2 linked regions of the Nothobranchius furzeri genome follow. The protein of the gene in region 1 interacts with the protein of each later gene in a pairwise test. Links are inferred from orthologs where the notes say so. Each region holds a gene or a part of one and is shown on either strand. Other genes may lie near its edges. The genes, in order: tarbp2 and znf346.

The links.
Region 2: the proteins of tarbp2 (region 1) and znf346 interact in binary tests that used the Homo sapiens proteins (3 or more experiments, as listed by UniProt). The two-hybrid records come from large-scale screens. The link is inferred for Nothobranchius furzeri from reciprocal best matches to the Homo sapiens genes TARBP2 and ZNF346.

Annotation. Positions count from the first base shown.
Region 1 is NC_091743.1:62,020,109-62,024,025, forward strand, and holds the start of tarbp2 (RISC-loading complex subunit tarbp2), read left to right. Parts: upstream 1-1,116; 5' UTR 1,117-1,259; coding exon 1,260-1,312; intron 1,313-2,095; coding exon 2,096-2,410; intron 2,411-2,571; coding exon 2,572-2,641; intron 2,642-2,751; coding exon 2,752-2,869; intron 2,870-2,985; coding exon 2,986-3,113; intron 3,114-3,276; coding exon 3,277-3,472; intron 3,473-3,566; coding exon 3,567-3,724; 3' UTR 3,725-3,917. UniProt on the Homo sapiens protein: Required for formation of the RNA induced silencing complex (RISC). Component of the RISC loading complex (RLC), also known as the micro-RNA (miRNA) loading complex (miRLC), which is composed of DICER1, AGO2 and TARBP2.
Region 2 is NC_091750.1:54,172,520-54,176,422, reverse strand, and holds the start of znf346 (zinc finger protein 346), read left to right. Parts: upstream 1-784; 5' UTR 785-1,308; coding exon 1,309-1,402; intron 1,403-2,374; coding exon 2,375-2,478; intron 2,479-2,685; coding exon 2,686-2,784; intron 2,785-3,903.

The sequences.
Region 1 (3,917 bases):
CTCTTTTTCGGTTGAATATTTAAAGTTACTTTTTTCGTAACTTACTTGGTGCATTTGATAAGACAGAGCTGACGTGCTGTGTTAGTCACTACCTCCGCTCCCAGGGTCAGATTAACACTTAGTTGTACCCTGGGCAACAATATTAAAGGTCCCCATCATCACGACCCAAGGATCACCATAATATGGTCACATACAGAATATTTTACTGTAATATGCAGTAAATATACTCAATACTTGAATGCCTGACATCATGTAACCCGCTCAGGGTAACCTTTGACCCACCTCGTGTGGAATGACCAATGAGGAGAGGGTCTAAACTTGAGGCCCTCTCTTCATTGGTCAGTCTGAATGAGACTGACTCTCAACTGGCGTTCAAAGTCATAGGCAGCGAAGCATCTCTGTGCAGCGCAAAAGCCCGGGTGGACAGTTTGTTTAATGTAGGGTGATCATATTTCCATTTCCAAACAAGAGGACAGGGGATCTGTGCCTATGACGTCACACTATGGCAACGCCACACAAACCACGTTGGGACCCATTTTTTTGTAAGAACTAAATTAATATCAGATTCTGCCAATAAAACGGCTCTAAAACAATTCATATGTAAATATTTAGCATATTTCTTGCAAAATCTCATTTTTCTGCTTTAGTGCTGCAACAAGGTTTTATTAATAAGAAATCATTATACCTTTTGTATAACCTAACCTAAACATGCACTCAAATATTTCATACAAAATATCTGACCTCTTATCAGCTGACATTTCTTTAATTGATAACAATGCTGACATGGAGTCTGAGCAAATAATACTTTTCCTAACACCATTTTGTTCTATCCACTGTAAACTAAATGAAATGGCTAACATTTCCACTGTATAAACTGACAGATTATTAGATGTTCGACTTTTATAATATATACTTAATGTCGGAATCCAGAAAGAAAATCCCGTTATATTTCCTGACACTTTCGACCCATCAGTATATTTAGGGATGAATGCTTGATGAGTGTCATTCCCACCTTCTGAGGCACAGAAGGCATTTGGGCCAATCGGGGCTTACGCTGCCCAGGACGCAATCTACGTCATAATCGTGTGACCGAGGTTGTCGCTGTAGAGGTGGTTTCGTCTTCTGGTATCCATCATGTTGCAGCTTTAGCTCATCGTTTTGGGACAACAATAAATACCGTCTAATGAGAGTACGTGTCTGTTGTGGCGGGGGGGATTTTACATCCGAAACCGAGCGGTTCTGTCTGCGCGAAACGGGGAATGAACGACGAGACAGCTTCGGATAGCTGGAAGAGAAACTCCGGGGACTCCAGGTGGGATTGTCTTCTTGATAAAAGCCATTTGTATGTAAACAATATAAAATGTCAGAGTCAAAGGCCTCAGAAACTAACGCGTGCATGTTGTTTTAAGTGTTTAATCTTCTGTTATTCTTTTAATCTCTACAGCTTAACTGTTTGACTCATCGTTAATACTCTTTATCTGGTGGCTTTTTACTGCTAGGTTGATTTTTGAGGGATTATTGTAATCTGGAAGGCAACAGGTGGTCAAAAACACTAATATAATGTTTTCCTAAATGTAAAGATCGGCATAAATTACACAAATCTCTTTATTCCATTTGTAATATATGTAATAAAATAAGCTGATTGCAAACATTTCTGGTTCAAATCTTCATTCCAGATGGCTGTAGCTGCCGCCTCACAAATAAATCATTGAATAAAAGTGCCTTCTTTTACTCTGATAATGTAAATAATAGAGTTTTATTGGTTTGTGCCCATTTCCTTTGTACACTGTGAAGAATCTCACCTCAAAACACCACACTTATTATTTGGGTCAGTATTCATTTGGCAAATAATAGTATTTTTTTTCTTGGAAACATATTTCACAGATTGAGCCTTAAAGATGGCACACTTTTCCTATTTCTTGTTGCATTTCGTGAAACTAAAATATAGACAAGTGTAGTTTTTCCACTGAACATTGTAGCGTATGCCCTTTAGATTTTAGCAGCAATAAACTAGCCACATTGTTGTGTTTTGATCTCAGTAAAGATGATAACAAAATAAGTGAACAGCTGCTTATGCTTTCTATCTTTTAAATAGTATTGAGCAAATGCTGGCTGTGAATCCTGGAAAGACGCCCATCAGTCTGCTGCAGGAGTATGGAACGCGGATAGGCAAAACCCCAGTGTACGACCTGCTGAAGGCGGAGGGACAGGCCCACCAGCCCAACTTCACATTCCGCGTCTCCGTCGGAGAGATCAGCTGCACCGGCCAAGGGCCCAGCAAGAAGGCAGCTAAGCACAAAGCAGCTGAGGCTGCTCTGAAGATGCTCAAAGGAAGCCTCGGAGATCCAGCTGGAGTCGCTGTCGGAGAAGACGTGTTTATCGAGGTTGATGTGTCTATTGACGGAGACTGGTCAGGACCCTACTTCATTTTAAAATGTAGAAAAGAACCTAGCGATGCTTAAGTGATGCTTAATGGCTTGTCTTGATTGGATCCAGACGATGTTTCAACATTGAGTTGATGGAAGAGAGAGATTTGTGTGGATTTAGTCTGTCCTCTCATGTTTTATGCAGCTCTCAGTCAGAGATGAAGACTTCCAGCAGTTCTCAACAGTCGGAATGTAACCCCGTTGGGGCGCTGCAGGTAACTACGCCATAGAGACTTTATTTTATCCTGGTAATCCACAACACTGGTTTCTGTTAGAATATTTCTATAGTTTCCTTCCTTTTTTTTTCTGTTTTGATTTACTTCAGGAGTTGGTGGTGCAGAAAGGATGGCGTTTGCCAGAGTACACGGTCACTCAGGAGTCGGGTCCAGCACATCGAAAAGAGTTTACCATGACCTGCAGAGTGGAGAGATTTGTAGAAATTGGTAAATCTTCTCTCATTCTTGTTTGATATCTGCATGTTGTGCTTTCACGCTCAATTGGATTTGTCAAAATCTGCTTTTATGCCAAGTGAAGGAGTGATTTCCTTTTTCCTGTCCAGGAAGTGGCACATCTAAGAAGTTAGCCAAGAGGAATGCAGCCGCTAAGATGCTCTCACGGATCCACGACGTTCCAGTGGACCTGAGGAGCAGCAACGAGGCAGATGCAGAAGAAGATACCTTCAATTTGGTGAGAGCTAAACACCACAGCAGTGATTTATATGCTTGCGCTTAAATTTCTTGTGCAATTCTCAAAATATCACAAACTGTGCCCATGTTATGGTGATGAAGCTTCTCTGCTTGGCTCTACTGTGTCTGTGTAAAACGTGTATAAAATCATCCCATTTACGCAGCACATGGGCAGCAGAGCGGAGTCGGGTAAAAGCAAAAGTTTCAGCTGCACCTGGGATTCTCTGCGTAACTCTGCTGGAGAGAAGATCCTGCAGCTCCGCAGCCACCCTCTGGGAATGCCAGCTGGCTCCAACTTCTGCTCGTTGCTGAGCGACCTGTCCGTGGAGCAGCGCTTTGATGTCAGTTACCTCGACCTCGGTGAGCTCACGCTCAACAGCACAACAGGAGCACCGTAAAGCGGTTAGAAACTCCTCGTTTTTTTTCTTCACATCCATGCTTGTTTGTTTTTCAGAGGAGCGCAGCCTCAGCGGCCGCTGTCAGTGTCTGGTGGAGCTGTCCACACAACCCATCACTGTGTGTCATGGCTTTGCTCCGAACGTAGAAGCTGCTCGAGCCCACGCGGCTCACAATGCACTGCAGTACCTTAAAATCATGGCAGGAGGAAAATGAGACACCTGGGCGCGTTTTTTGTCCGCAGACCCGAACTCGCCACCACGCGATGCCAATGTACACCTCCTTGTTGTACAGTAGAGGCTTTTTGACCTCAGATTGGTTAAGAGACATTTTTATCCTGCCTTGAAGCTAAACACAAGTTTATCTCTAGTTCATTTGTTGTCCAGCTGGTGAAAATCTCACAGCCTAA
Region 2 (3,903 bases), on another chromosome or scaffold:
GTGAAAATGTCTTTAACCATTCACTCCTCCTTTCATGGAGCCGTAACTCCTAGTTCTTCCAGGCTTTCGGGGACATCCCTAGAGGAGAGTTCATCCTTAATCTCCTCGCTCAGACCTTGATAAAAGACGTCACACAAAGCATCATCATTCCAGTTACTGTCAGCAGCACATGTATGAAAATCAATGATGTACTCTGCCACTCGTCTCCGGCCTTTGTTTTAATTTCAAAAGACCCCTTGCTGCCTCACACCCAGGAAGGACAGGACCAAAAACCCAAGCCGTCTGAATCCTGGCTATTTTTATAAAACACCACCTGTTCGTATGAGTAACAGATGTCAGAGTCCCTTTGCAATTCTGGAGTGCCCCATAATTTAGCTTTGCCGGAGGGGAGTGAAATGACCACGTAGGGTCGCGGGGGGCACGACATGGACAAAAATCATAAATCCTTCTTGGTTCTGAGTTTGATCTTGTACTGTAAAATGCAGCATTACTTTGTTTAGAATCAGTTTCAGTTGCACTTTCTGCTTGTTTGAGCAAATAAATTAAGCTTTAAGAAGATTTATTACTAGAATGTATTTATTATCATTGTCATTAAATTGAAGTTGGACAGATGACTTGATTATGACTTGAAAATTCTAAGTTAAGGACTTGGACTTGACTTGGACTTCCACAACATTGACTTTGGACTCAACTTGGACTTGGTTGTTTTTGACTTGACTCGAGACTTGACTGATTGACTGATTGATCGATTGATTGATTGAAACATTTATTTGGGGCAGCAGTAGCTCAGGTGGTAGAGCGGGTTGCCTCATGATCGGAGGGTCATGGGTTTGATTCCAGCTCCCGCCAGGGGTATCCTGCTGTTGTGTCCTTGGGCAAGACACTTCACTCAACTTGCCTGTGTTGGTGGTGGTCAGAGGGGCCGACGGCACCAAATGGCAGCTTCGCCTCTGTCAGACCGCCCCAGGGCAGCTGTGGCTACAAGTAGCTTACTATCACTAGCAGTGTGTGAATGTGAGTGTGTGAAAGCGTCTTGAAAAGCGCTATATAAGTTCAATGCATTATTATTATCATTATTTGAACATAAAACAAAATATTTTTTAAATCAATGAACAGAGACAGATGACTTGATTATGACTTGAAATTTCTGGAAATGACTGGAAAGACTTGTGACTTACTCGTGACTTGCAAAGCAGTGACTTGGTCACACCTCTGATTTTAGTTTTGTGCATCCTTTCTGGAAACCGGGAATCGGAAACAAGAGTTTCGAATCCAAAACACTTCCATCTGGGAGCTGATCAGCTGCGCATGCGCACTCGAACACCACTAGTGTGCGTTGAAATCATGGCGGATGCGATGCAAACCGATGATTTTCCATACTTACCTACAGGGCTGGCTGAGGGTAGGACTTCTGCCTTACTCATTTCATATAAATGTTAACATAGAATCACGTCAGTGCATCAAAGCAGCAGTCTTGGAGTTTGTGGCGTTAAAAGCCAGCGTTGTTGTTAGCTTCGCCTGAGCTAAATTTAGCCGGTTTGCTAAAATGTGCTAAGCTAACCTAGCGATAGCCGCTTTTGCTCCAAGGTCGAGGAGAGCAGTTCTTCATCCGATGTTTTTACTGACTCCTTCTGATTCCTGCTCTCTTGCTTTGTGACTTAATAGAGTCTGGAAGAAGCACAATTAGATTGTGGTCAGTTTATAGCTTGTGTTCTGTCGTTGGACGGCGGTGTTTTTCTGTTATTTTGGTGTGCGTAAAATCAGCTTCTCAGACGAGACAGACATGTCACGCTTGATCTTCTCTGAGGATGGATTGCAACTAAACTTTGCATGAAGTACATCAAACATTTGAATCTTAAACTATTCTTATTAACACCTCTAGCAGCGTTCGAGACTTACATTTTGTGCACATCTGCATCTCAACCTGTAGAAGCAGGGGCTCTTTATTTTATTAGAGATCATTCTGCAGGACAAAAGTCTCACGCTCTTACAAACCCTTAGCCAAGCCGTCTGAATCCTGGCTATTTTTATAAAACACCACCTGTTTTCTGTGTCACACCTTGGACTTGATGCATCAAGGTGAAGAAATATTCTCGCATTAAATGATCCAAGAGTTGTGACTCACAGATGGGCCTAAAAATGTGCTTCTGTGTTTTGGCAAGTGTTTGCATTGCAAATGTCTGCAAAAGCATCCAGGAGGCTTTTGGTCCTGCTGATGAAACTGGTTCTCCAGGGTGATTTTAATTAAAGTGGTTTTAAGACCATACATTTGTAAGATGCAGTGTTTTCTTAGATAGCTCTTAAACCATTTGTTATAAGGATATTTCCCCCCAGAAGATGCAATCTGTTGTTTTCTCCTTTTCTCTTTCTGCAGTAAATAAGATGATAAAAGAGCATGGTGACCTGTTTTCTGACTCCAAGTGCAATGTCTGCAATGCTGCCCTAATTTCTGAATCTCAGAAGTTGACTCATTATCAGGTCAGTTCGCTGAATTCCCTGATGCAGTCCTACTCTCAAGGGGCCGCGCTCACGTTCGAGGGTGCCGTAAAGACGTGCATCAGTCTAGTTTATGGGTCGTGAAGACATTTTTGACAAGACAAATTAAAATTTATCCAGATTATGAGATTATTTGTCCATTTTTGTGGATGTTTGTTCTTATCAAAGATTTTCTTTTCCCACTTTCAGAGCAAGAAACATGCCAACAAGGTGCGGCGTTACATTTCCCTTCAGAATGAGAAAGAGGACAGTGGCAGTCCAACTAAGAAGCAAAAGACATCTGACAATGTGAGTTAAATTGAAACATTCAATAGACGTTAAGGGTGGGCATTTTCATAGAAGAAGAAGAAATTATCTTTTATATCTCAAGATAAAAATCACGAGGCGCTTCACAAGAAGAAAAAAAATAAAATAAAAAATTATTGAAAGTATCATAAAATGGGATAGGTGATAATGTAGTAATATTTTTTTTTACTCAGGACTGTATATTGCTAAATTGAAGTACTGTGGTTTCACATCATGATTCATTCGGTGGCAGAAATACATGTTTCATCTGTTTCCGTTTTAGTAAATTAGTTATTTTATGGTTTATCAAAGAGAAAATTTACATTTCTTTTAGATTTGAAGCACCCATCCTGCCAGAATTTAGAGTAAATGAATGAGAGGAAAAAAATTAAAATAAGTATTTAAAGACCTTGCTCTCTTTTTTTTCTTTTGGAGGTAGGGCTGGGCAATAAATCAAAAATTTATCGTTATTGAAATTTCTGACTCGTTGTCACTCTTTGCACTCATGAAACATCTTGTCAAGTTACTTTTTTTCCCCAGAACTTTATTGAACAAAGGAAAGTTAGTTGTTATTGTGTAAAGAAGATGCTTTTTACTGGCGCACAATGTACTAATCTAGGTGCTGTGAAGGAAAACAGAAACCAGCAAAAACACAAAGGCAGAAACGATCCAAAGTTGGGGATCAAAAGTGTAACTACGGGCAGATTTGCTAATGCTATCAGGTAGCAGGCTCACGATCAAGTGGGTTCCAAAAAAACACAATGGTCTTGAAACTAAGAATATCTAAACTCTACAAGCGAAAGAAACGTCCCCATTATCCTGTTTATGAGCTGTCTGCAGCGCTACGGAGTCAGCTCAGTCTGCTCTGCTCAGCACCGCTGCAGGATTATGGCAAGCCACTGTAGCATGTAATTCACAAACATGACAATCTGTTAACATAATTTAAACTGGATTATTTGTAACCTTTACATTATAGGTATGTCACCATTACATTTTTAGCAGCAGAAATTAAATGTTATTAGCATTTTCAGTAGCTGAACATGTTAATGAAATAGATAAAATTTAACTGATCGTAGTTTAATTATGGTTATATTTAGGTGATGGCTTGTTTTTCATGCTATT